Linked DNA regions of Mus musculus. The main gene of each other region encodes a partner of the protein of the gene in region 3 in a complex. Links are inferred from orthologs where the notes say so. Each region holds a gene or a part of one and is shown on either strand. Other genes may lie near its edges. The genes, in order: Synj2bp, Magi1, Rps6ka1, Sntg1 and Sntg2.

Region 1 (5,498 bases), on a different chromosome or scaffold from region 3:
CCACACCTCATAATAGTGCCACTCCCTAGGCCAAGCATAAAACATCACAGATGAGGATTAGAAAACAAAGCACTCAAAAGATAGTAAGGGACAATAAAAAGCATGGCTATGTGTTCATTGCTTTTAAAGTAGTTATCTATGAGGTTTACGTGGAGTTTGAAGTCACTGTCTTACTAGTAGATGGTTGTGGAGGGGCACCTGACAGGTACAGTTGACAGAGTTGAGGTGTAGTTCTACAAATAAAGGAAGGTAGGACATGTTACACGTGGTTTAAGATTCTCAGGCAATTTCTAGAGAAAGGAATGAAGTTCCTGTCCACCTAGAGCCATACACATTGAGGTTTTAGGCTTAGGACATTGACAATTTTATATACATTATCTATGCAGGGAAGAAATATTAAGTCTATGTCAGCAGCCTTTACAGCAAATGCTGCTCAATGTGCTAGAATGCTTGCTCAGTTGGCAAGAGTTTTTTTTTTTTTTTAAATGGGTAATTTTTTCCTTCCTTCCTTCCTTCCTTCCTTCCTTCCTTCCTTCCTTCCTTCCTTCCTTCCTACCTTTTCTTTCTTAATATGTAAGTACACTGTAGCTGACTTCAGACACTCCAGAAAAGGGTATCAGATCTTGTTACAGATGGTTGTGAGCCACCATATGGTTGCTGGGATTTGAACTCATGACCTTTGGAAGAGCCGTCAGTGCTCTTACCTGCTGAGCTATCTCAGCAGCCCGGCAAGAGATTTTAATCAGACCTGGAGATGACAGGATCCTTCTCCCCTCATGCCTCAGGTTCCCTGCCTTCTTGTCCTGTCTCATTCCTATAGAATCCACCTCTGACTTGTTTTAATAAACCTGAGTTGCTGGCTTGGCTTTTAGCCATAACTTTGAATACCATAGTCTGATTATGCAGTCTTTGATTCTCTTAACACCACAGGAGTCCCTTGAGTCACCATACATATTTATGGTCACCTTCCTGGTCCTTAAGGCCTTTGTAGTTTTGATACCTGAAAGTTTCTTCACCTCTGTTTGGAATGTCCGATCTTAAAAGTCAAGATGGGCTGGAAAGTCACATCTTAAGTCTTGCAATCATTTTGTGAAAAGGACATTTCACCTCCTTTTGCTTGGAGGATTTTTCTTGAACAAGCCTATGATTATCTTTCCTCTGTATATGTGTACACATTTCTTAAGTTAGATAGGCCTATTATTAAATGCAAGCCAGGGATATATACATCTATTTAAAAGTTAAGTAAGAGTCTTGTCAGGTCTAAGTTAAGAAATCTTGTGCATAAGGCCCTGGAAAACAATGCTCTCAGATGTAAATATCAGGGAAATCCTCACTTCCTGTCATGTGTGTCAGCCCAGGTGCCTTGCTTTAAGCAGTGAACACTTGCTTGATGAGAGAGAGAGAGAGAGAGAGAGGGGGGGGAGGGGGAGGGGGAAGGGGAGGGGGAGGGAAAGGGAGTGGGGAGGAGGAGGAGGGGAGGGGGAGAAGGAGAGATGGGGGGAGGTTTCATTTTTTTATTTGGATACATTTTATTAACTAACACGGGGACTGCTAACGAAGGAACTTGAAGCAGTGTTACCAAGTTTTCTTACATGGGGCATCACATTGGATTTCATCTGTATTGCACAAAAGGTTACAATTTCCCACCCAAGTATGCAATCTCATTAGTACTTTGCCTATGATGCCTTTCATAGAGTGGTTTGAGGCTCATAAAAGATCTCTCTCACACACACACACACACACACACACACACACACACACACACACACACATTTGTAGATATTTTGAGATTTTTATTTAAAATGTCAAACGTATCAATGTAATTCTATCTCATACCATTATTACCCTCTCTCCTTCCCCATGCTCTTCCAGTGTAAGCGAGCATTATACCTCTCTTTGCTCATGGCTCCTCAGGATCGGCCTTGAGAACAGTGCGAGGTACCGGAAAACGCTGGTGGGCTCAGAGAACCACCACTCCCAGCATCCTCCACGTTCCCAGTGCCCGCGGTTTCCTTTTCCGGTCTGACCGCTGAGGAAACTGTAAAAGCTATGCTGGGGAGGCAGCGCGGAGCTTGATTCACCTTCACCTGCTCTGGCCACCCGCTGACCCGGGGTTTCCGGCCGGAGAGCAGTCAGATATGAACGGACGGGTGGATTATTTAGTCACGGAGGAAGAGATCAACCTGACGAGAGGACCTTCGGGTAGGCGCGGGACATGGAGGGAGTAATTGCTGCGTCCCTTGCTTTGGCGGAGCCGGGTTTACCTGGCTGGAGAGCAGGCAGGCCCCGACCGAGCGGCTTCCCAGAACGCTATCGGGCACGGAGCAAAGAGTCCATTGGCATCTTTTGTTAGCTAGATAACGGACCCAAGGACTCTGCCCCATAATCCAGTCGGATTACCACAGGCGTTTATGGCCAGGACGGGTTTCTTGCTGTTGGTGGCAATAGCCAAGACCAGGAAAAAGCCCGCTGTTTAGCCAGCGTGTGGGAGCCGCCGTATCCGTTATTCAGTTGCTTGCTCCATCCTTGTTTCTTCGCCGAGGGCCCGTTCAGGTAAAAACAGGAGCAGCGAACGGCGGTGTGTGTGTGTGTGTGTGTGTGTGTGTGTGTGTGTGTGTGTGTGTGTGTGTTTCTGAGTGTCTCACAGTTTCTCCGGTGCTAGGGTCCCTGCCTGCATTTTTGCGGAATCAATTTACCATATCAACTGGAATGCTAAAGCGGGCGGAGACCTTTTACAGAAGTTTTCAGACCTGGCCACACTTGACCACCATTACTTGGGCGTTTTCGTTTTTACTTTTTAGCAAAATATTGAAATGAAAATGTTGTTTTCTAGTCTCACCTTTAGAAATTTGGATTCAGTGTGGATCAAACAATTCTTGAAACAAACACTTCATGTGATTCTGACAGGAAAATTCCCATTTAGCGTTGCTGTGTGGTCTTCCTCATGGATGCTCATAGCTGGATTACTACATCGTGTCACTGCCTTCCTTAGGCTTTGCAGTTTTCTTTATGGCCTTAACATTTTAGGTTTAGGGTTCACCACTTAGAGCCAAGATTTTTTGTTTTTGTTTTTTGTTTTAAATCTAACATCTTACCAGTTTTTTGTTGTTGTTGCTTTTTTTTTTTTGGCTTGTTTTAATGTATTGGCAGAATAACTTAACTGATGGATTCTTGTAGTTTCTTTTCTGTAACATGGAGACAGTTATGAAATGAAGCGTTTCACATATAGTGTTAGGATGAAGCCACTTGCTCTCTGGAAAATATTTAGGACAATGTCTTGATATATGGTAAGCAGTGTGTATTTGTTACTGTTGTCATTAGTGAGTGAATGGCTAAACTGACTCCAGTAAGTTCTGTTAGATACTGTATTCCAAGAGTTGAATAAATCATTGGTTACTGTGAATTTCTATTCTGATGGCCACTACTTAGCATAGTCTGTTAACTTTCCTTATCTATAAGTTTGCAATAGCTTAATCACTGCTGACTATTCTGTGTAAAGCACAGCTTTCAGAACTAATCATATATTTTGTCTTCCTGTTATGAGAAAATTGGAAGTTGATCATATTTATGGGAATAACTCTCTGCTAATCTTTGTGGTTTATACAGAAGCTTTGCTCTGGGTAGTTCTTTGGGGGTGCTGAGGTAACTTGACAGAAGCTAGAGTTAATCTGGGAAGACCCTTAGTTGAGAAAAAACGCCCCCATCAGATTGCTTGTAGGCACTCCTGTTGGCCATTTCTTTTTTTAAAGATTTATTTATGGCCGGGCGTGGTGGCGCACGCCTTTAATCCCAGCACTCGGGAGGCAGAGGTAGGCGGATTTCTGAGTTCGAGGCCAGCCTGGTCTACAGAGTGAGTTCCAGGACAGCCAGGGCTACACAGAGAAACCCTGTCTTGAAAAACCAAAAAAAAAAAAAAAAAAAAAGATTTATTTATTATATGTAAGTACACTGAAGCTGTCTTCAGACACTCCAGAAGAGGGCGCCAGATCTCGTTACGGATGGTTGTGAGCCACCATGTGGTTGCTGGGATTTGAACTCCTGACCTTCGGAAGAGCAGTCGGGTGCTCTTACCCACTGAGCCATCTCACCAGCCCCCTGTTGGCCGTTTCTTAAGTTGATGATGGAGATGGGAGAGCCCAGCTCACTGTGGGCAGTGCTACCATGGGGCAGGTAGGTGGTCCTGGATTGTACGAAAGCAGGCTGAGTAAGTCATTAGGAGCAAGCCAATAAGTAGTGCGGTTTCAGTTTGTGTCTCCAGGCCTGTGTTGACTTCTCTTCATGATGGTCTGTTTAGGATTCAGTAACTCCTTTCATCCCTTCATGCTTGTATCATGGTGTTTTTTTTCATAGCAGTAGAAACCTAAACTAAACTCAGAAACTTTTGCCCAAGGCTTTTCAATATGCCCAAGTTTCTTGAATCTAATTTTCTTATTTTATTTAATTCTTCAATCCAACTTTGAGATTAACGTAGTAGAGATGGATTTTTATTACATTTGTGTGTCTATGTGTTTTTGTTTGTTTGTTTGTTGGGGAAGGGGCCCGTAGAGGTCAGAGGACAACTTTCAGGAGTCAGTTTTCTCCTCCTATCATGTGGGTTCCAGGGATTGAACTCAGGTTGTCAGACTTAATGGCAAATACTTCCTACCCGCTGAGTTATCTCACCCAGCAGTCTCAGATCTGTAAATAAAAGTCTGTTTTTTTTTAATGTGTTTTTTAACCTTTTGCTAATGAACCCATAGGATCAATGAGATACACATTTCTGATTCCCTTTGCAAATGCATTAAGGCATCTAGTTCTTTAACCTAAATAACCTACCATGATACTACTTTTTGTGATGTTTGAGATTGTCTTCTTGCCACATAGCAAGAACCCAATATACTTGGATATAGAGTCTTAGCTGTGGTATCACAGTATTACCAGGTCTTCTGACAAGAGCAGACTTCTGATATTAATCACAGTATTACCAGGTCTTCTGACAAGAGCAGACTTCTGATATTATTCTTGCTTTAAGCATAAAATTTGACATAATATCATTGTTTAAACTTTTGGGCATTTGAATAGGCATTGTCTAATTTCTAAGCATTGAACTTACAGATCTAAAGTTTCTAGTCTTAGTATTTTCCTTCAAAGATTAGAGCAGGGAAAAGCTTCAAAAGACTAAATAAGAGGAATACTTATAGCTAGTTAACATATTTTTACACAAAAGGGTTTATTTTTGAATTGTATAGTTATTTGTTTAAAAATAAAGTTCCATTGAGTGGTTTCTGGACTTTTTATAAAATATTTTAAAATATTAGTCATTGTCATTAGTCAGGATTCTCTAGAGGAATTAAGTCAATAGAATGAATATCTGTATCAAAAGGGAATTTGTTAGATTAGCTTACATGATAAAGTCTGAGAAGTCCAGCAATGGCTATTTGCACAGTGAAGGCTGAGAGCCTGGTAGCTGCTCAGCAGACCCAACTTGGTGCTGACAATCTGGAGGATGCCTTGAGAGT
Region 2 (5,700 bases), on a different chromosome or scaffold from region 3:
TGGCTCACAACCATCCCTAATGAGATCTGATGCCCTATTCTGGGGTGTCTGAAGACAGCTACAGTGTACTTACATATAATAAATAAATAAATAAATCTTTAAAAAAAAAAGAGCCCTTGAACTTGTAAAATGCTACAAAATTTGAAGACATGGGACTTTGAAAATCTATTTTATATTGCTGTATCAATATTATAATGGCATCTTGGGTACAAAGGCAGGGAAGGTTACAGTTTAACAGTAATGGTTGACAAAGAGTGGTGGGTTCTGCTAGTGAAGTTTTTGTCAACCTGAGGAAAACCTAGACACAGCTGGAGAAAGAGCATGGTAGCGGACCTGGGGAGTAGCTATGCCTATAGGGCATTCTCTTGATTGCTGGCTGTTGCAGGAGGACCCAGGCCACTGTGGTGGGTGCCATCCTTGGGCATGTGGACCTAGGATGTAGAAGAAAGGCAGCTGAGCAATCCAGGAGAAGCAAACCAGTAAGGTGCATTCCTGAGCTCTAAGTTCAAATAGACCCTTTTTGACTAAGTCGGTTTTGGTTAGTGTTTTATTATAGCAACAAAAAGCAAATTAAAACATCCTAGAGATGCTGATGGCTAGATCTCTGTTAGGGTTTGGCAGTTAGGTTTGAAGGGACTGCTCATTTGACCTCAGTAAAACCAAAACCAACAAAACCAAAAAGCAGCCCCCCTCCCCCAACACCACTATCACCACTTGGGGGAAAACACAACCAACCAATCCCCCAAAAACAAAACCAAAAAAAAAAAAAACAACAACAAAACACCAGAGACATGAAATTCCTTTCACCTTTTCAAATAATCAGGAGCAAGACGGTTTTTTGTGTGTAGCCAGTCTTAGGGAGCCCAGGCCATCCTCTCCTAGACTTTGCCTTGAATTCTTGGTCCCCATGCCTCAGCCTCACAAGTACCAGGATTACAGATGTAAAACGCCAGGCCCTCATTCTTATTAACTTAGAATAGCTCTCTAGAAACAGGGCTTGAAGAGCTTAAATGTATGCTTATGTTCTAGAGAGGGGATTACAACCCCAACCACTAAGGACTCTGACACCCCCCCCCCCCCCAGTTATCAGACTGTGAAATTTTATATGCCACCATAAATTATTTACTTTGCAAGTTTCCAGTGCCTATGTATTATTTCTAACAACTCTGTGTGTGAGGTGGGGTGGGGTGGGGGTGGGGGTGGAGGAGGGGGTGGGGGTGGGGGTGGGAGTGATTGTATTCCTCCAGCCTTGGCAAGTGGAAGGTCTTCACTTAATGTTGTACTTAAGATGCCTGCGGAATCTGAACTTCAGACCTATCCTCTCGACCCACCTCAGTGACATCCTCATCTCTCTGAGTGGCTCCAACTCAGCTCCTTTTATCTAGTAGATTCTCAAGTCCGTGACCAAAGAGGAACTCATTGGAAACCACTGAAAAATAAACAAAACCGCTAGGGCCACCACTGCACTGGCTTCTTGGCGGTGGGGGCTGTTCTTTCTGTCCCGGCCTCACCAGTGCCCCGATTACTGGACCCCGCCTCTGGGCGGCGAATTCCGAGGTGGCCGGCTCGCCCACGCTTGTGCAGGACCCGCACCCTGCGGTGATCTTTACTCCCCAAAGCAGTGCTTAGGTTTCTCGGCTCTCCTAGAAGCCAAAGGGGGCTGGCCACCGCCGCCCCCTTTGCTGGAAGGACAATGAGAGGCCAGCGAGAAGTCTTAGGTAAAAAGGCCACGCTAGCTTTGGCTTTTCTCGCTCGCTGGCAGTTTTTTCCTTGTCCTAAAAAGTTGGCCCCAAAGTTTAACGATGGGAGCGTATGTGTAGGTGCGTTTGGTGGGCGCGGACAGGGATGCAGAGGGTGTGTGGGTCTTGTTGATTCGGGTCCTCAGGGTCACAGAGACAAGAGCCAGGCTCCGCATGTGGACTTGAACCCCTGGGCGGGGAGCAGGCGCGGAAATGTGGCGGAAGGCGCGTGAGCGATGGCGTGGCCAGGCACTAGCGGAGGACGAGGAGGGACCCGGGTAGGCAGCAAGAGTGTGAGCCCCGCGCTGAATTGGTCTCCCAGCCCCCACCTGTTTGAAACGATTTGCAAACACCAAAGCCAAATTCTCTGTGTTCCAAAAGTTCGAGAGCTGGAGTCGGGCAAGCACACGTGTTCCCCCAAAAGGCTCTGGCTGAGCCGACCACACTGCAAGAGGAGGAATTCTAGGGGTGCAGGGAGAGGAGCAAGTTGGCGTCAATGAAGGGTCGGCCCTAGGACCCCGCGGGAGGCGCGTTGGAATCTCTCCCTTCCAGGAGGAGGGGTGGGGCGGGCCTGCCCGCGGGCGGCCGCCGGGCGCATGCGCGCGCGTCTCCTCTCCAGCCGGCCGCTGCGCTCCGCCGCGCGGAGTAGAATGAACTGTAACAAAACAAGCCGAGCCTTTGTATCTGCTTAAAGGGGCCGCGGCCACTTCCCTCGCGTCCCCTCACCCCCGCCCCGCGCCGTCGCGTCTCCAGGGCTCCCGGCAACTAGCTTGGAAAGGGCTTCCCTCGCGCTGAGGAGCGGCCGGCCGGCGCGGAGCAGGCGCGGCGTGTGTGGAGAGAGCCGCGGAGCGGAGAGCGGGCCCGGGCGGCGCCGGAGTGGACTCTGGTCCCGGGAGCGCGGTCGGCGCCGGAACGCGGACCCGGAGGCACCGGAATGCAAACAAAGCTCGCGGGCGCCCGTGCAGGGCTCTTCACGGAGCCCGGAAAGTTTGTTTTATGATGGCTTGAGAGCGCGAGAGAGTCGGGCGAGGAGGCTCGAGTAGCTCGCTCCCGCGCTCCGAGAGATGCTTCTCCCGTGAGCCCGCCGCTCCGGGGGCTCGTGCTGTGGGGGCACCTGTCTCTCGTTTTAGCAGTTTTCTTTTCTTTTTCTTTTTTTCTTTAATTTGAATTTTGTTTTCGAGGAGGGGCTGTAACTCATCATGTCGAAAGTGATCCAGAAGAAGAACCACTGGACTGGCCGCGTTCACGAGTGCACCGTGAAGCGGGGACCCCAGGGCGAGCTGGGGGTGACGGTCCTGGGGGGCGCGGAGCATGGGGAGTTTCCGTACGTGGGGGCGGTGGCGGCGGCCGAGGCGGCGGGGCTTCCCGGCGGTGGCGAGGGGCCGAAGCTGGCCGAAGGTGAGCTGCTGCTGGAGGTGCAGGGGGTCCGGGTGTCCGGCTTGCCCCGCTATGACGTGCTGGGAGTCATCGACAGCTGCAAGGAGGCCGTCACCTTCAAAGCCGTCAGACAAGGTAAGACGGGGCGTGCCTTTGGGGGGCGCACCCCGAAAAAGAGGGGAGGCCTGAGGGGGCGCCGTTTGCTCCGAGTGCTGTGAGCCAAAGTTGAGGCCCGGACCAGATGCACTCAAAGTTGTGAGGTTGTGGGCTGTGCGCCCACCTGCGTGGCGGGCTGGGGCCGGGGTTGCGCCGGGAAGCGGGGAGATGCTTCCCAGGTCTGGTTTGCCAACTTCTAGGTCGTAGCCACCTAGTGCTGCGCAGCCTCGCCTTCACCTTAAGGCAGATGGGGAACTGAGGGAGGCTAAGGTGGACGCTTCCCCCAGCCCCTTACGGGATGGATGAGCTCACGGAGCTGGTGGCTTGCCACTGCCTGTTTCCCTGAACTGGAGAGTGGGTCGTGGAAGGAGAGGGTCTATTTATGGTTGATTGGAATTCTTCCATCACAGAATTTGCCTTCATCCTGCAACCCCTCCAGGTGGGGCTGGGTTATAACCCACTGGAGTCCTTAATCCAGCCTCCTGCAGAGCCCGCAATCACCCCACAGCGGGGTGACGTCTGTGTCTCCTCCTTGTGGAGACCTACGGTGGGGGAAGGGGTGATTAGCGCTTGGCGCGAATCTAGTCCAAGTTTACCCAGCCACCTCCTCCTCTTGCACCGTCGTCCTTATTGATGATGGTTGTTGAGAGTTACAATTCATTGTTAGCGTGTTATGTGAGAGGCTGTCTGTAAAGTGGTTTAATTGCATTATCTCATTCTGATTCACATCAATGCTATAAGAACGACTCGGTTTTTGTAAGTCCTATATTACAATAAGTAAGCCGGGTCTGACCTTAGGTAAATGACTTGCCCAAGGTCACACAACTACCAAAAGTGTATGGGTCTTTTTTTGTTAAACCTTGAGCAAGGAGGAGGAGGGCTTGAGGGGACGACTTTCGGGACCTGAGTTTTGGGGTGGGGGTGGGGAAGCAAATCCTCCCCTAGAAGTCTGTAGGATAAGGATGGCTTTCTGTAGGGTAAGGATGGCCGTGGGAGAGTACTCCCTCGCAGTTTGGTCTGAGCAATGGTCTGATCCTGTAGCTAGCCACCGGAGCATAGCTGCAGTCCTTAGAGGCATCCCTCCTGCACCCAAGTGCTGTGACGCAGGTTCTCCCAGATGAAAGCACCAGAGGAGGTGGCAGAGTTGAATGTGGTGAAAAGTTGCCATATGTTCCTGTCAGGATGGCAGCAGCTGAAGGAAACGTGTCAAAGGAAAGCGGGGAGAGCCAGCGCTCTCAGCAGCAGGCCGCTTCCAGATGACCGGAGGATGAGCGCAGTACTGTGTGCGGGGAGCCTAGTAGCCAGGCCTTTCTATCCTGTTGGGAGCGCAGAGGCTGACACCTAACAGTGGAATGTCCATATCCTGCTACTTGGCCTTGCTTGATGAATCTGTCCTTAGGAGTTTCTGGTAAAATCATAACCGAGGAAGTGTGCTGGTTCACAGTAAGTGCTCAGGAAAAGCGAGTTGTATTGGAGTTGGATTTAAGCAGTTAGCAATTCAGTTTTTAGCTAGGAATTTAATGCCAGTTCCCCGGGTGTTTATGACTTGGTAGAGCTGTTGAGATAACACTGTGACAGGCATTTATTTATTGGGGGAGGGGGGCAGCATTGGGTTTGAGTTCAGGCTCATTTTGCAGAAAGATTTCTCATCCGGCAGGATGGCAGGATGTCTGGGTGGTGGTAAATGGGTCCTAAGACTTGTTGACCATGGGCAAGAAGCTTCCAGAAGCTGAGCTCTTCCACTATTTTGCAGAGACCCTGGAGCTAGCTAGTACCCCTTCTCCCTCTCCACTCTCCCTTCCTCTCTCTCACCCCTCTGTGTGCACTTTAGTGGTGGTGGTGGGAGATGCCTGTGGATTTGACAGTTATTATAGTGCCTTCAGGTGTCCTATGATCAGGGCTGTCTTTTGCCAACAGAAATGCTCACAAAGGGAGAGAGTGGGCTTGTGCTTCTGAACAGCCTTGCAATAGGCTATGAGTGCTGTGGAATCCACCACATTATAAAGACTGTCACATGTGATAATGACATGGGCACAGTTACTGTGAAGATGACCCTAGGAACCATTTCAACAATCCTCTCACTTTCCTGTTGCAAAATGATTTAAATTATAGGACATATTTGTCTCCACCTTTTTTTGTTACTGTGTCTTATTGTATCGAGTAGACTGAGCTAGTATTTGGGAAAAATATATTTTTTATGGTGTTTCCATTTTGAGTTAGCTCTCACAGGGACATAGTCACTCTGGGTACATATCTGCGTGGAGATGTCACAGTCTTCTTGTGGTAGAAGATTGTACTCTTTGTGTTGCATGGCAGGTTTCTATAGCAAATAGTATCTCATGGATAGGAGTGGGTTGTGAACGAGACTTAGTAGACCCACATTAAGTGGAGAGGACAGTTGTTGGTCATAACATGCTTAAAAATATTA
Region 3 (5,493 bases):
GCATGTATGCATATGTGCATGTAAATGTGTGTTATATGTGCATGTGTCTGTGTACACGTCTGCATGCATATGTGCATGTCTGTGTGCATGTGAGTGTATGCATGTGTGCACATGTCTGTGTGCATGTGTCTGCATGTATGTATGCATGTGTCTGTGTGTATGTGAGTGTATGCATGTGTGCACATGTCTGTGTGCATGTGTCTGCATGTATGTATGCATGTGTCTGTGTGTATGTGAGTGTATGCATGTGTGCACATGTCTGTGTGCATGTGTCTGCATGTATGTATGCATGTGTCTGTGCATGTGAGTGTATGCATGTGTGCACATGTCTGTGTGCATGTGTCTGCATGTATGTATGCATGTGTCTGTGGTACCTGTGCATGAGGATGTCTGAACATGTGCATGTGAGTGACCATGTATGTCTAGGCTACAGGTTTATCTTTTTATTGTGTGAGTCTCTCTTTGAACCTGGAACTCACCTATTTGGCTTGCCTGGCTGACCAATGAGATCCTGTGTCAGTAGCCTCCGCAGTGAGATTATAAATGCTTACTGGGAAAACAGCATCTGTTTTTATTTCTTTTTTGATTTAATTTAATTTTTGATTTTTAGACAACATCTCTATTATGCAGTCCACACTGGCCTCAAAGTCACAATCCTCTGGCCTGAATCTCCTGGATTAAATTTATTTCTATTTATTCATTTATTTATTTACTTAGTTGGGTTTTTGGGGTTTGGGGGGTTTGTTTGTTTTGTTTTGATACAGGTTCTTACTGTGTAGCCCTGGCTGGCCTAGAATTGGCTAAGTAGCCCAAGCTAGCCCTGAACAGAGATCCTCCTGCCTCTGCCTCCCTACTGCTAGGATTAGAGGCGTGAGTGACTTCTCTCCACTTAAAAATGTACTGCATTAAAATGTCTTTATCGGGGAAGGTTGTCCCTGTGCACATTTGTGGAGGTCAAAGGACTGCTTATGAGTTGGTTCTCTTCCACCACATGGGGCCTGGGGATCAGACTCAGGGAAGGCAAGCTCTTTTACCCATTGAGTCCATCCACGGACCCACCCCACACTCTTTTAAACACCAGTGTGCTCCTGACCTGCTGTGTGACTTCGGATAAATAGCTTAGGGTGTCTACTAGGATGGGGTGGAGTCTCAAAAAAAAAATCACAAGCTGCCTGAAGGTGGAGGTCGGAGATACTCAACACGACCTGGCCGGCAAAGCCTGGGTTCCATGGCCATAACCAAGCAAGGAAACGTAACAAAAAATAAATTCCCTATCAATGACGCCTGTCTTCGCTGGAGGCTTTTAATAAACGAGCCAGCTTGTCTTTCACCTGAGAGTAAGTCTCACGACACCTGGGGCCTAAAATCTCCTTAAGAGCAGGCCAAATCTTACTGGAGAGAATCCTGATCCCACCAGAACTGGATTTTGCCTTCTTTCCAGGGACTCCTGCTCAAGTCAGACCACAATCTGGTCTGCCACGGAAGAGGCGCGGACCTGGCCTGAAACCAGCGCCCTCAAGTGATAGGGCACAACAGACTAGGAAGGAGAAAAAAAAATGCGTATTAGGAAATCACCCTGGGGGCGCTGTGGGTCCTGGCGCTGGCTGGCTTGGGACCCGGGGATCACATGGAGACCCCAAAGTGTGGGCTCCCGTGATGTGCACAAGCTTTCGGAAGGGGGCGATCCTAAGGGCTTGGAGAGCTGAGAGCCAGAGGGCACAAGGCCCAGGCTCCTTCCACGCCTCAGTCGGGATCAGGCCCAGGACGTCCCATGTAAATGTGGGGTGGCAGCCCCTCCCCCTGGAGGGAGAAGGCACATCTGGGTTAACATCCCAAAGGCTGCTAGGACAGGACAACGGAGGCCCCAGCGAGGTCTGCAAAGCGGCACAAAGCCCGGGAAAACGGAACCCGCGGAGCCTCCGGTGGGCAGGGCCGACAGTGGGCTGGGGTCTCTCGTGAAGGCAAGGCTGACTCCCGGCGCGTTGGGGGCGGGGGTCCGCGCCGGGAATGCCGCGCCGTGGGGGGACTGGGCGGGGCTACTCAGGCCCCGCCCCCGCGCAGGTAGCCAATGGGCGCGGCGGCGCCGGGTGACGGAGCGAGCCGAAGTGCGAGTGCCGCGGCGGCGGCGGACGGCCCATCCAGAGCGCGAGGGGCTCAGGGGCGTGCGGGGGTCTCGGTGTAGCAGCAGGGACCCCGTGGCCCAGAGGCAGCGCTGCCCGGGGCCGCCGGGAGGAGCGCGGGCGGTCCGGCAGCGGCGCGATGCCGCTCGCCCAGCTCAAGGAGCCCTGGCCGCTCATGGAGCTGGTGCCGCTGGACCCGGAGGTGAGTGAGAGGGGCGGGGGTTGGGGGGACAGGCGGCGGCGGCCGGCCAGCCCGGATCCGCACCGGGGCGGGGCGGGGGCGGCCCGCGGCGTCTCTGCAGCCCCGCGGGGACGTGAGTGCCCTCCGGTCTCTAGCTCACTGTCCGGCTCCACCCCCTTGTGCTCCGGGTGTGCGTGTGTAGGGGATGGTTCTGCTGGGCTCTCAGTACCTCCCTGCAGTAGCCAGGAGAGGAATCTCCACGGTGTGTTGAGATCTGACACCTAGGACCCATCCCGCTTATCATCTTTTAGTAGCTGTGGGAGTTGCCCCAATCAGTGCAGAAGGGAGAAAGGCTTGGGTCAGATGTCTAGGCTTCTACTAGAGACAAGGATCATGGGAATCCGGTTTCTCACCTTAACCTCTCCCCAAGACCTCTCTTCGTTCCTCCACTTCTGACCTTAGGAAGGTAGCCCTGCTGAATCCCAGGCAGTTATGGAACGTGGGACGATACCACCTCTGGAGTTGGAGCCTGCTTTCCTTTGCCCTAAAGCTAATGACACCGGGTCTTCCTACTTCAGATTATGCTGAAGAGTGGGGAAAGTCCTTAGATCTTGTGAAGACTGTCTCTGTAGAAGAGACTCTGCCTCCGTCTTCCTCTCTCCCTCCTTCCTTTCCTGTAGAAAAAGGCTGAGCCCTTGGGCAGTATGGCTTCTGCCACCTAGCCTTTCCCAGAAGCAACTCCTGTCTTTTTTGAGGGCTTTGTGGTCCAACCCTGAGCATGCAGGAGGCCACTTCTGTGCTGTCCTGTCACCCTGGGATCAAGGTCAAGTTTTGAACCAGCAACTTTAAAACTTTCCCTGCTCTCCTGCTGCGAAGGAGGCAGGTGAAACTCTGCCTTCCTTCACTGGAGCTGTTTTGGGGTACAGGAGGCTGGGGTACAGGAGACCTCACTTGATCCCAGAACCTAGATGCTTTTTCTCCTGGCTTGAACCCCTTTACCTATGCTTGGTACCTCAGGTCAGTCACTGTGAGCCCTGTCTCTCAGGACCACGGGCAGAGAGAGGATCCACAGTGAGATCCCCAAGTCTCCAGGCACTCAGGGCATGCTGCCCCTTTAAAGGGATGGGCTACACTGGCTATTGGAGGGTGGGCGCGGCTGGATTAGGTAACCAACCTGAAGGCGCAATTTGGAGTAAATTGTTCTGGGATCCTTGCCACGGGGGTTTTACAGGCCCTACACAGGCGCTCAGAGGCTGTCTGGCTGACTCACCCTCCTAGGTGAGGAGCACTGCTCTCTGCAGCCCCTGGTGCTCCCCCCACACTCCCCAGGACTGGGGCACAAGGCCCCAGGGAAGGCTCAGAGGTGTACTCCTTGGCTTGGGCACGCCCCTGCCACCTGGGCCTCCAGAGGAAGGGAGGCCTGACCTCGGTATGGCTAGGGAGGGACTCAGCCTAGGGACTCACAGCTTTACCCTAGCGCGGAGAGTAGAGTTCTAGGAGTGCTGGCCTCCTCCAGGGCAGCACTTCCTGCTTCCCTTTGGGAAATCCTGAGGCCAGAGGCAGCCTCATGGGGGCCAGGTTAAACCGGAAACATCTTAGTTTGAATACTGTTGCACCTGAATTCAGGCGAGGGGAGACTGTCACATTTCCTGGGATGGGGGAGAGGAGTTTTTTCATTGAGTTTCACTTCAGAAATGTTGTGTGGCCCTAAGTCCATCTTCAAGCTGTCTGGGCCTCTCCTTCCAGCACCACAGATGAGTTTCTAGCTCTACTTCCTGGGCCTGACAAGGTGCAAAACCCTGGGTCCTGCTGCCTGGGTCCCCTCCCCCAGGCCATGGAGGTGCCTGTGGACTGGGTGTTATTGTTTGGGTAACCAGAGCTGTGGGGCAGTGAGGGTGTGCATGCTCACTTGAGAACAGGGCCCTGCTGTTCTTCGTGCAGATGACACGTAAGTGATACAGTGCCTAGCCTGCAGGTACTGGCGCCATTGTGGCCAGGAAGAAGGCAGGTAAGGGGGCTGGCAAGGGCATTTGGCAGAAGAGGTCTGGGATCTGAATTGCCCTGTCTTCCCATTGCTGTCACCAGAAGTGGGCTGCTGGCAGGCAGGGCCCAGGTGGACTAAACCAACTGGACGTAGGGGTGAGGATGTTACCTGGGCTTTTTTTGGTTCTGCTGAAAGCAGCAGAGCTTTGTCTCCAGCTGCTACTTATTGATGTCATGCAACTTTAAAAAAGATGACCCCCCCTCCCATTTTCAAATGGGAAGGCAGGACTCAGGGATGCTGGCGTGTGCATTAATATCAGGACTAGAACCCAGTGCTGTCACTGTTTCCCTCCAAGCAAGAGAGACTCAAAGATGAGTGTGGGGTGGGTTTCAACTGGCACAGGTGGCAGGTAGGCAGAGAGCAGCTCCGGATGTTGGCACACACTTCTCAGGCCTCAGGGCCTTTGTCCAGCCTTGGCTGAGGGCTAGCAGTGTCCTGGCACTTGGCCCCCAGGCTCCAACAGTGCAACAGGGCTGCCAGGGCTGGGCTCAGAACCCAGTTCCTGGGGCTGCTTCCTGCCTGCAGGGCACGTGCTGTCTTTCCCCATCTGTTCTGCTCCCAGCTTTTCCAGAAGCTGCTCTGGACCCTTAGGTAGAAAGCAACATGTCTGTTAGGACCCGACTCTAACTCCTGGAAGGGGTACAGGGCACTAGGGGTTCTGAGCAGATGTCCATCTTCATGAGCTGTCCTCCTGAACAAGAGAGGAGAATAGAGTGCTCCAAGAGGCCAGGGGGACTTCCCTGTCTCAGGCTTTTCTCCCTGGTTCCAGGGTCTGGTCTTCATGTCATTTGTCTCTCCCTTCCTTTTTCCTCGCCTTCCCTCCCCTCCCTCCTTCCATCCAACCAGGGCCTTATGTGTACTACGCAGGTACTCTACCTCTGAGTTAAATCTCCCCCTAGGCCTTTTTAAAAGTCAGTTTCCCCAGGGGCCAGAAGAGGGCATTGGATCCCCACCACCCCTCCAAGCTTCAGTTACAGGCAGTTATGAGCTGTTCAACATGGGTGCCGGGATTTGAACTCATGTCCTCTGGAAGAGCAACAAGTGCCATTTACCATTGAGTCATCTCTCCAGCACCCCTTAGGCTTTTTAGACAGACTTCTTTCAGTCTCCTAGGTCATAGAGTGCAGCTCCTGACATGATAGACATGG
Region 4 (5,709 bases), on a different chromosome or scaffold from region 3:
GGAGGGGGCATGTGGTAGTGTGTGTGTGTGTGTGTGTGTGTGTGTGTGTGTGTGTGTGGTGTTGGGGGTCTTGGAGTTTTATAGGATGAAATGAGGGGGAATTTGGAGGTGGAAGAGTACCTGTGCAGGTCAGTTCCCCTGCAGTCTTAGAGGCGGGTGCTAGCAGGTTTGATGTGTGGATCTCCTTACCTGAGGCTTCAGTGGGTGATATTGGTCAAGTCAGCTTTCTTGTCTGGAGTGTCTCAGTTCACACGAGGCTTTTAGTTAACTTACTCACCATACACCAACAACAATAAAACTAAATGAAGAAACAAACTAAACAGTTTAAGCAACTTTTCTAAGTGGCAGAAAAGAAAATTCTTTCTCAAGTGAGTCAGCCATCAGAATCACTTAAGAGAAAACATAAAAACAAAGTGGTGTGGGATGGGATCTCATGGATGTTGCTAGTGGCTGTTTAGGTGACTACTTTTCTTCTGCTCCATTCTATCCACAAACAAGAAGCAAACTGGACTGAGTTTTGTACTTAGTCAATGTGAGGCATCTGCCTTTATCTGAAACCAATTGTGCTCAGTGCTACAAGCACAAGCACACATGAAGCCCCAAGCACACATGAAGCCTCAACAAAGAATATCTTCAACAAAGAATAGCTGAGCTGATTAAAGTCACCCCCCCCCGACCAGTTCTTACACAGAAAATGAGCAAAGACTGTGCCCCCTAGCACCACTTCGTTAGGAAGTCCTCAGAACACATCAAGATAGTTGTTTCATTTCAGACATACTTGCCTATAGGTATTTTTAGTTGTATTTGATACAATAAAAAGAAACAGAGTAGAATTCAACTGAAGGCACTGAAACTTTAAATTGAACACTACCTAATTTTTTATATTGAGTGTTGACTAGGTCAGTTGAGGACTCTGGTCACTGCCTGTTTTTCATAGGTTGTTGTGCTAACTTACCTTCTGTATTCTATTTATACATTCTATATAAGAACATTTAGAAAATAAAAGTAACCTTTAAGAATAAAAGTGATTTAAATGATTTTTTGGACAAATCTTATCCAACAGAAAATTTACTTAAAATAGCTCTTCAGTTCACCTCAGACTATCTGTCCCTGTTTTATTTATACTTTATTTATTTACACTTCATTTATATACATTTGTAGCATCCGGTGATACACTTCATCATCTTTGTCCCACAATGCTTTGAACAGGTTGACTAGGAGGAATGTGCTACAGGTTTGTTTCTTCACAAAAAAAGACATCAAACTGTCATAATCAGCTAGTCTGACAGTTCAAATTAATCAACCCTTTCTTTTTTCTTGGTGGCAAGAGAGGGTGGCAGGAGAGAGGGAGGAGGGGAGGATGGAGAGGGAGGCTCTGTTATTAGCATGAATCTGTGCTCTACAAAGGGAAATCTCTCCCTGTGGTTGGATAATGAAGCGCATATGTTTTCAATTAGCAACATCTCGGTGCTTCACTTAAAGGCTTTTATTTGCTGTGCTAATTTCCTGTATGATTCATGTTTCTACATGTACAAAGAAAATGATTCAAACAATTACGTGAATCAATTGAAACAAGCATGCAAAACAGCAAAGAAAACCCATTTATTTTCAGGGGTTGGCCACAACAGGCAAACACAGCCTTTAAACAAGCCATTTTCATTCTCTAACCAAAAATAGGGCAACTACTTTAACTTATTTGGAGAAAGACGTATTTGTTTGCATGGATAACAGAAACACATGTTTGCATTGGTAGAACGAAGTGGGAAACGTAATTTACAATAATACTGGAGAATTTATTTCTCCAGGAACCGGAAAACAAAGCAGCTCTTTTAAAATTAGCTCCTAGTGCTAAATTGCATCTTATGTAGTGTTATCTCAGAGTGCTGAAGCGCATCATCAACTAGGCAACCTTTGGACTCCAAAATTCAGATGTGGAGAAAGTGGATGCGAGCCTGGTCCCTTGAGCTTTTTCTGTGAGGGGTAGCTCCACAAAGCATCCCGAAACGAGGGCGACACTTACTGGGGGCCTCTTCTAGCGCGAGCCAGGGGGTGCAGCTAATGCAAGGAATGGCCCCAGACCAGGGAAAGGAGGGTTCGTGCTGGAGGAAGGATGCTCAGTGCACTTCTCCAGAACTCCTTAGTTTCCCCCAGGGCAGTCGCCAGGCCTTTGGCGGTGCTGTCGCCTCCCGCATCCACCCTACAGCCCAGTGAACTGCGTAAAATGCGGGCGCCGCAGCTCCGGCCATAGGGGCGCGGAAACCCAGCGGGAGACGCTCGTGCAATCACTCCACGACTTTCCCAGTGCAGCCGGAGGTGGATAGGAGCGAGCACCCAGCAGCACTGCGTGCCCACGCGTTGTCCCTGCGCTAAGCCTGCACGCCCCCCTCGGTCGGAACAAACTCCGGGTGCACAAGTCTGCGCTGCACAAGTTCTTCAGCTGGAGCTGGGCGCTTACCCAGGTTGGCGTTTGTGGGGCGCTCTTCAGCCTTACCACAGTCACTCAGAGCTCCGCAAAGACGCCGTGTTAAGCAGATTGCCCCATTCTCACTCTGTGTATTTCAGTTCCCCCATCTCACTCCATTCGTGCCTGCACCAGTTGCCTTGTGTGGGCGGCGGAACCTCGGCGGCCTCCTACAGGGCCACCTTCTCGAACCCGCGTCCAATTCCACCGCAAGCTTCTCTACTGGAAGCCACCAGAAGCCTGACCGCGGAGCTAAGTAACCCGGGGGACGTCTCGGTCCGGTGCCTAGGCCTTGCTGGAGCCTTTTAGGGATAACAGCCCTGCCTACCTGATCCACTACCCTCATCCAGTCTTTTGTGCGGCGACACGCCCCCGCCCCTGCGGGAACCCGGGCTGTAGGCGGTGGGAGGGCGGGAGCTGGAACCCAACCTCCCTGTCCCTGCTGTCCCTGTCTGGGGCTCCCGGCCACGGCTAAGCTCTTCGCGGCGATACAGCCTCTCGGAAACAAAGGTATCCCTAGCCTTTTCCTGGCCCTTTCACGGTTTCTGCATTTTCTGACAAGAGTCTGTCTGTGTATCTGGGAACTGAGCATCCTTACTCTGTCATCTCGGAATTCCATCTAGAGCTCCGAAAATGTGAACGTGTCCGCGCCCTGGTTAGGAAGCAAGATCGCAGGGGGACCTCCAAAATAGCCCTTCTCATCTTATGTAATTAAGGACCCACGAGCTTCCCAAAAGCACCTCTACAGTCTCCACAGTGCTCAGCTTCTCTCCTCCTCCCCCTTCTCTCCCCTGTCTCTTTCTCTCTGTCCCCCGTCCCTGTGCGCGCTTGTGCGCGCGCCCGTGTTCGTGCGTTCTTTTTTCATTTCTACCATTAGGAAACCTACTCAGAGCCGCTGTGAACTTAGAAGAGGCTCAGCATTTGTTTCCCACGGATTTCTGCCTCTCCGGAAACGTTGCCAGCGTATACACATAAGGGTATCAAGATGGAGAGACCATTAATCCCCAAGAAATGAAACACGGCGGAGAAACGGCAAAGCTAGAAGTCTGGAAGAGGCCTTAGCAGGAGTATAGGGTCTGGAGTAGACTAAGGGGTCCTGGTTCCCCTCGCTTCAGCACCGGAAGGGATGGACAGCGTCTCCCAGCTGCGTGGCTGCCTGGGAGACCCAACTGTGTTGCTGCTGCTGCCTCTGCTGCTGTCCTCCTGGCCACAGTCATCTACAAGAGCTCTTAGCAGCTAAAAGGCGGTGCCTCTGGTCCCCTTCCTTGATGGACGAAAACCAGCCCTCCTCATCCTCTACCACTCATATCAACCTAGTTAAACTCTAGGCAGCAACTTCAAGAAAAATTTCTATACAGGACTCCGGGGAATGCAGGCAGAAGAGTGGAGTTGAAGTTCTTAGAAGCACCAAAGAACCATGGGCGTTGCAGTAGGAATTGAAATTCTCAAAGGCCCAGAGTTTTTAAAATAAGAACGTCCCTGAGTGGATTGCAGCTGTTGTGGAGACAGCTTTGTGAGAGGTCAGAGATACTAAAACCCCAACATTAAAGAAGCTGAGAAGACGTCAATTCCTCTGCTCAGCAGGTATGTGATAATACTATTACATCTGTGTTTCACCACACACTAATGACTTTGCAAGGTTTAACAGAAAAGATACAAAGATGCTGAGAATTAAGGAAAATGAGTACTTCTGGTTGTTTAAAAGTAATAATTCCTAGATTAGTATCTTAGAAAATCTCTTCCTTGATAAATTAGTCTGGAATTTTACTTTTCTGGAATCTCTTGACAGAGGTGACAACAATATGTAGTTGGCTTACATTAGTATAGCAAACTTTTACTTGGACATTTTCTTCTTGCTTAACTAATAGCTTTGGGGATCTCTGTGTATCTTATTGTTTTCTTTAAAACTAATGTGCACTGGTGTTTGGCGATCATACATATTTAGCTAAAAGCGACTCTGGTTGTGTTATATTGCATCTGAAATATATATTTGAAATTTAAATATATCAAAAAGTTGGAAATGGCTCAATCACCTCTTGTAATATTCTAAATGGTTATATTTTGTTAAAATGTTTAAGGCACAAAATATGTACGCATCAATATCTGATCCCTTTTGTAATCAGAGTCCCCAAGTGTAGCTAGACCTTAGACTTATCAACAGATATCTCAAGGCAGGAAGTGAGCAGCTTCCTTGTGCGTCTGTAAGAGAGTAGGGTTCCTTCAGTATTCTGACTGATTAGTTCTACAAAACCTATTTGTTTCTGAAATCAAGTGATAGAGACTAATCAGTTACTAATAGACCATAAACCTTAACATGATAATTAATTTTTCTTGATACTTAACGTGATAATTCTTTCTTGATACTTCTTTCTAGACTCTTCCTTTAGAGCTTTAAAATTACAGCTTCCACAATGACCTTGATAAGCATTGGGCTTTAATGAAAGGGGTTTTCTGTGTAAAAAGCAGTTATACAAATGTGTAGTCCATGGCTGGCATTTCAGAAAGAACTCATTCAATTCCAGCGATTGCATTCTGCTCAACGGAGAGCTTTGACTCACAGTAATGAGTCTCATAGTCGTGATGGCATATGCTTAGCCAAGTCTGTGGAAAGAGTTTGTCTCTTGAAAAACTGCAGGAGTTTGGAAGAATTTTTTTTTAAATTTTATAAACCATGTATAGCTGAAAATAAAATACCTTTACATCACATACAGTAACTCTCACTTTCTTTCTTTGAATGCCCAATCTCCTGAGCCAGGGTGGTACTTGTTGGTAGACTCATGGCTGCCTGTTATATAGTGACCAAGAGTAACAATTCTACTCTGAGGAACTGTCATTTTTAACTGTCACTCACCACGAAGCTGCCTGCCTCACAGAGAGCAGCATCTCCTTGGAGGCATGTTTGCCCTAGATAGGTCAGAAGTGATCTTTGGAGGACTAGAAAATCTGCACTAATTGCCGTGGAGCCCAGAATTTGTTTCTTTTTCTAGTTTAAGAAATGTGGAAGCAGATTGCCACATGGAAGATGGAATCATATTTTAGCAGAGTTACAGCATGTGACTAGACTATTAGTTTGATTCTTAATTAATTAATGTAGACAGACTCCCCCAGTCAGTGGAGCATAAAATGATATGTGGGAATGTGCTCTGGAATGAAGCCTGTGTGTCTTATGACCGCAGTTCCCTTCTCAGTGGTGGAGGGGGCAGGCTTTCTCTATATGGAACAGAAACTGAGTAAAGTAAAAGTTACCT
Region 5 (4,909 bases), on a different chromosome or scaffold from region 3:
AATTGCTTAGAAGTTGTCATGACCCTCCCATCCCCCAACCCTGGTGACATTTCTTGTTGTACAGTTCTTTTATGGTAGCCTGAGCCTATACCACCTACTACAATGGCTAGGTTGGCACCTCCTTTCCCTCCGTCAGGTAGGCACTGCATCATCTTACATCATCATGCATCATAGCAGGGGGATGAAGACAACACAGGAGCCTATTACAGGAGAAATGGACCTCCTTACATAGCTCACTACCTGTCACTGCTACATATACTGTGTCCATGTTATTGCTTATCTCTATAACTTATACCTTAACATAGGTAGACATGCACAAGTAAACACTGAATATAGGATTCAATACATCCAAGGTTTTGATAACCACCTGGGGGCTTTGGAACACAACCAAAGAGCTTGAAGGCTCGGGAGATGTAAAAACGAAGACATGGCACTGATTTACCACAGGTTCTGAGATGCATGTGCTTTAAAAATCTTTGGGGAGTATGGGATTCCTCTTGTATTCAGATCCCCTTGTCTTTCAGAAAGTCTGCAGTGTCCTGACTGCCTGCTTGGCATCCATGCCCAGGTTCTCTTTTCCCATAGGGCTCTCATAACTGAGATGCTTCTAGCCCCCTCTGCCACTATGCTTCAGGGGAACTAATATCTTCCCTGTTCCTAAAGTGGAGGGTAGTAGCAGAGATCCGTTAGCATATGGTGTTCCCTATACCACTGTATGGTTTGATGAGCTCCTGTTCCAAGCTAGCAGAATCAGTCTGAAGAGACCTGAATTTTATGACTGTTTCCTTGTCCACTAAGCATTCATAAGAAAACGTTTTGCTTCTAAGAGGCAATCTGTTGGGTAGCAAATACATCCAAGTCTGAAGTCTAGCAAAGTGGAGTTACTGGGGCCACCTTTTCTTCTCACTGCTGTTGCAGAACGAGTCCTGTTACTTGTAGCCAATAGCAACCTATTAGACAGATATTTTACACTTTCTGGCTCTATGTTATTATTATAAAAAACAAAATGTGAGAGGAACTGATGTGGGAAAGTGCATAAAAATATTTCAAATTCCAAAGTTATATGCGCAAAGCAATGGGCATATATTTTAATTAAAATATTCTGGCATATATGGCAAGGCAGTTTGAAGGCTATGGCTACAATCTTGGCATTTTCATGGGAATCTGGGAAGTAGTAATGGAGAAAGTGGACCCATGGAAAAGGTTAGATGTTTCTGGGTGACAATGAGACTTTAATAATTTTGGATATCTGTTACATGGATATTATTTAGAACAATATTGATTTAGACTATGTAAGTTGAGGAGACTGGTCAGTGAGAAGTCTCAATTTACTCTTCTGAATCTGATGGTTTTTCTGCACCGTGTCCTGTCCACGTGAGCAAGGTATAGAGGCTTTTGTTTTGGTTTGTTTTGTTTTGTTCTGTTTTGCTTTTTCGAGACAGGGTTTCTCTGTATAGCTCTGGCTGTCCTGGAACTCACTTTGTAGACCAGGCTGGCCCCGAACTCAGAAATCCACCTGCCTCTGCCTCCCAAGTGCTGGGATTAAAGGCATGTACCACCACTGCCCAGCGGTATAGAGGCTCTTATCTGTAGAAATGTACCCTGAGTCCATGAGGCACAAAAGGCACCATTCAGAAGACTTTCTATAGAGGTGACGAATTAGCTAATGCATGCAGGAAAATGAGCCCACAGCTGCCACCAGGAAGAAGAATGAATGATATCAACATTGCATCATGTATATCACCTACACTTAACATAGTGAATCTTGGGTTGGCACAAGATCCAAGGCAATACACATAAAGCTGGAGAAAGAAGAAAAACCAGAGATGGGACATGCATGAAATAAATGTAGCTTTGTTAACCATCAAAGGAGACTGGCACTTACTGTGTTTTATATATACTACTTATGAGGTCCCTCCTATAATTTCATTCTGTATCTAGGGAGGCGGTATGTCTTATTAGAACAGGGCATATAGCATAGGAACTCTCAGACTACACCACTATAATTTAATTTCTAGGTTGCTGTGAAAAATCCATAGAGTCCTTATGTGCAGAGAAGCAGAAAGGAAATCAATGTTGCCTTCTCTGCACATTTAAAAGTTAAGTGTGGTGTGTGGAATGCAGGAGGCCTGGCATAAAGTATGTATGGGCTTCTAGGGTAGTTTGTGATGCATCTATGTTAGAATGCATTGTTTTCAGGAATCATGCTATAACTTGGAGAATGACTGATCAAGACACTGAAAGGGGAAGAGGATGTCTAGAGTTGAGCTTGCCTGAAAATCGGAAAAGCATCCAACCCTTCTCCTGTCTACCTGTTTCTCAGAGGGAATACAGAAATTCGGGGACGGTAAGTCACTTCCGGGGTAGGTCATTGTTGAAAATGCCTTCAGGGTCTTTCCTAAGTTTCTAGAACAGAGTATTAAGTTATAATGGAGCCTTCAGACTCTCCAAAGTTCCTGGGTCATCTTCATTCCTTTCCTTACCAACTGTGAAAGACCTGCACAAGCTCAGTAATTGATGCTGACAGTGTTTTCTTCAGAATTTGCCTCCTTTCTTTCAACCTTAATCTCCTCTCCCCTCCCCTCCCCTCCTCTTCCCTCCCCTCCCCTCTCCTCTCCTCCCCTCCCCTCCCCTCCCCTCTCCCCTCTTCTCTCTCTTCCTCTCCCTCTCCCTCCCCCTTCCCCTCCCCCCCTCTCCTTCCTTGTCTGAACACTGTTAACCGCTGGAGAATAGATGTCGCGGCTGTGATGGTTCCAGTTCCTTAGTTACCTTTATCCTCCTTTAGAGAATGACACTTCTGAACATACATAAGGACTTACTATCCGTTGTGAGGGGAAGGTCTCCTTTCTAACAACACTACAGACACAAATATCTATCGGACTGAATAACTCACAGTGCCCACAAGCTTCCCTCCAGCACCAAGTTCCATGATTGAGCTTCCTCTTATTCTCAGCATATCTCCTGATTGTCTGTCCCTGGTCCTCAGGAAGATTGTATTCACCTGACAATGCTGTCCCAGGTCCCTGGACTGAGGCTCTGTAGAGCAGTGGCCAGATGGGTACCATCCATGTGTCTCCAAAGCAGAATCTGTGCTATTGTTGTCAGAGCAAAGTAGCCCCAAAGTCCCCTCCCTACAAGGGACATCTCAAAGTTGCCTTCTGGTGGCAAGGGCTATCTGTGTAGATTATTTCTAGGTAGGTACAAGATATCACATCTAATAAGTGCTTGAGGAAGGAGACCTCAATGCTGTGGACTTTCCCTCCAATGTCATACTCTATAAAAAGTGAGACACCAGGTTGGTGCCTTAGCTCTAAGATGCTATTGAGGATCAGGAACCAATTCCCCCACGCCATGAATGATGGCCTCAGGGGAAAATCTCAGTTTCTATGGACATCTGGATGTTAGGACATTTAGTGATCTAAGAGATGCCACGTGTAATGAATGATCAGGGCTGATCCATGCTCAGTAATGGTTTGGCACAGCCCAGAGCCCATGTGCAGGTTGGCAGCCAAATGACAGGTAAATAAACAGAATCTTTTCATGCTGGAAATGAAGCAATTGCTTTTTGTTTCTGTGATCACTCTCTCAGTGTTATCACCAGACTAGTCATGAACCCAGTACCTTGGCAAGGAGACAGACCTTGTCTGATGCATTGCTTCATTTATTTTCTGTCATTCTCTAGCAGGAAACATCCTATGAAGAGGCCCATATTTACGACAACAGAAACCATAATGCCTCCTTCCTTATCTGCTCAGTGGACACACATTTAAATTCGTGGATGATTTATTTGCTGTCTTCAAGAACAGAGAAGCAATTCAGACACATTGCTGTATCACATTCTCCTTTGGGCCATTAAATATGAGAGGATAAGCCATTAAGTGTCTTAAAATATTGCACATGCAGGTGATACAGAGCAGGTTATAGCTGTCTCCAAGCCTACTGCTCTGCAGCGTGCAAACTCCTCCCACGGCAGTCTGTGAGTTCTGCAGTGGAAGGAGATTCAGCCCTTTCCTCACAGTAAATATGAATGCAGATATGAACCAAGATGCAAGAGCCTGTGACAGACAGCTCTCCTTATTAATGGAGGCCCTGCTCAGCACGGATGACTGCTCCGACATGGTGACTTAGATGAAAGCCATTCACCTCTCACAGTTCTCTTTCCTGAAATAAATCCTTATTTACACTCCATCCCCAAGGTGTCAGATATTGCCCCAAAGCTGATAGTGAGAAGAGTGTGAGTCCCACAACATACTCACCCCGGTTCTCTGAACTTCCATGAAAGTTGCTCTTTGGAATGCCTTCTCCCACACGGCCAGCTCACTGCCCAGCTCTACACTGAAGATGTGGCTCTTCCCATGGTTGGCCAGGACGCTGAAGCAGTATGACCTGGGGTCTTCACAGTCAAAATCTTGGAGACCAAGATACAGGTTTGCCTGCAGCCAATAGTTATCTGAAAGCCAGAACTGAAAACCAAAAACAAAACCCAAAACAGTATATATTGGAAATAGGTCAGGAATGGAGGGTTGAGTCCAGACTACAGAACTCAACCCAACCCACTCTTTGAGAAAAGGGTTGCATTTGACTGCTCTGGTAGAGGTAGCCTCTTCCTCACAACCACCAAATGGGGCAAGTGCTTTAAAAATGTTTTCAGAACAATAGCCAAAGCAATAAAATACGGAGGAAAGCACTGGACACAGCCTGATGATCCATCATAGACTCACCCGGCTGGCCACACCTAATAACAGGCAGCCGTATCCTTGGAATGTGTCTCTGATGTGCTTGTTTAGGACACGGCTCCATTGAGATTCTGCATGTCAAGGTCATCTATAGGGACCTGAATGTCACCAGTTGTCCCTACTTCCAGATGAGGGGTATAAGCAGGCAACAGGGACTACTAAAGGAGGCTTCT

What was found.
Region 1: the proteins of Rps6ka1 (region 3) and Synj2bp are in contact, whole or in part, in a crystal structure (PDB 7P74), measured with the Homo sapiens proteins. The link is inferred for Mus musculus from reciprocal best matches to the Homo sapiens genes RPS6KA1 and SYNJ2BP. Residues at the interface, in NP_002944.2 of Homo sapiens: Pro731, Ser732, Thr733, Thr734, Leu735; in NP_060843.2 of Homo sapiens: Arg18, Gly22, Leu23, Gly24, Phe25, Asn26, Ile27, Val28, Gln33, Ser45, Arg46, His78, Val82, Phe85, Arg86.
Region 2: the proteins of Rps6ka1 (region 3) and Magi1 are in contact, whole or in part, in a crystal structure (PDB 5N7F), measured with the Homo sapiens proteins. The link is inferred for Mus musculus from reciprocal best matches to the Homo sapiens genes RPS6KA1 and MAGI1. Residues at the interface, in NP_002944.2 of Homo sapiens: Pro731, Ser732, Thr733, Thr734, Leu735; in NP_001028229.1 of Homo sapiens: Arg480, Gly481, Phe482, Gly483, Phe484, Thr485, Val486, Val487, Gly488, Asp490, Lys499, Ser500, His532, Val536, Phe539, Gln540.
Region 4: the proteins of Rps6ka1 (region 3) and Sntg1 are in contact, whole or in part, in a crystal structure (PDB 7PC8), measured with the Homo sapiens proteins. The link is inferred for Mus musculus from reciprocal best matches to the Homo sapiens genes RPS6KA1 and SNTG1. Residues at the interface, in NP_002944.2 of Homo sapiens: Arg728, Lys729, Leu730, Pro731, Thr733, Thr734, Leu735; in NP_001274742.1 of Homo sapiens: Gly67, Phe68, Gly69, Leu70, Ser71, Ile72, Lys73, Gly74, His78, Ile80, Ser85, His118, Glu119, Val122, Leu125, Arg126, Arg141.
Region 5: the proteins of Rps6ka1 (region 3) and Sntg2 are in contact, whole or in part, in a crystal structure (PDB 7QQL), measured with the Homo sapiens proteins. The link is inferred for Mus musculus from reciprocal best matches to the Homo sapiens genes RPS6KA1 and SNTG2. Residues at the interface, in NP_002944.2 of Homo sapiens: Pro731, Ser732, Thr733, Thr734, Leu735; in NP_061841.2 of Homo sapiens: Gly82, Gly83, Leu84, Gly85, Leu86, Ser87, Ile88, Lys89, Gly90, His94, Ser101, Lys102, Phe104, His134, Val138, Leu141, Arg142.

Annotation. Positions count from the first base shown.
Region 1 is NC_000078.6:81,529,420-81,534,917, reverse strand, and holds the start of Synj2bp (synaptojanin-2-binding protein), read left to right. Parts: upstream 1-2,006; 5' UTR 2,007-2,138; coding exon 2,139-2,202; intron 2,203-5,498. Other genes in the region: Gm20498 (Synj2bp-cox16 protein), read left to right, coding at 2,139-2,202. UniProt on the Homo sapiens protein: Regulates endocytosis of activin type 2 receptor kinases through the Ral/RALBP1-dependent pathway and may be involved in suppression of activin-induced signal transduction.
Region 2 is NC_000072.6:94,280,561-94,286,260, reverse strand, and holds the start of Magi1 (membrane-associated guanylate kinase, WW and PDZ domain-containing protein 1), read left to right. Parts: upstream 1-2,343; 5' UTR 2,344-2,938; coding exon 2,939-3,251; intron 3,252-5,700. UniProt on the Homo sapiens protein: Plays a role in coupling actin fibers to cell junctions in endothelial cells, via its interaction with AMOTL2 and CDH5. May regulate acid-induced ASIC3 currents by modulating its expression at the cell surface.
Region 3 is NC_000070.6:133,884,399-133,889,891, reverse strand, and holds the start of Rps6ka1 (ribosomal protein S6 kinase alpha-1), read left to right. Parts: upstream 1-2,094; 5' UTR 2,095-2,259; coding exon 2,260-2,322; intron 2,323-5,493. UniProt on the Homo sapiens protein: Serine/threonine-protein kinase that acts downstream of ERK (MAPK1/ERK2 and MAPK3/ERK1) signaling and mediates mitogenic and stress-induced activation of the transcription factors CREB1, ETV1/ER81 and NR4A1/NUR77, regulates translation through RPS6 and EIF4B phosphorylation, and mediates cellular proliferation, survival, and differentiation by modulating mTOR signaling and repressing pro-apoptotic function of BAD and DAPK1.
Region 4 is NC_000067.6:9,296,469-9,302,177, reverse strand, and holds the start of Sntg1 (gamma-1-syntrophin), read left to right. Parts: upstream 1-2,300; 5' UTR 2,301-4,045; intron 4,046-5,709. UniProt on the Homo sapiens protein: Adapter protein that binds to and probably organizes the subcellular localization of a variety of proteins. May link various receptors to the actin cytoskeleton and the dystrophin glycoprotein complex.
Region 5 is NC_000078.6:30,222,512-30,227,420, forward strand, and holds part of Sntg2 (gamma-2-syntrophin), read right to left. Parts: intron 4,464-4,909; coding exon 4,257-4,463; intron 1-4,256. UniProt on the Homo sapiens protein: Adapter protein that binds to and probably organizes the subcellular localization of a variety of proteins. May link various receptors to the actin cytoskeleton and the dystrophin glycoprotein complex.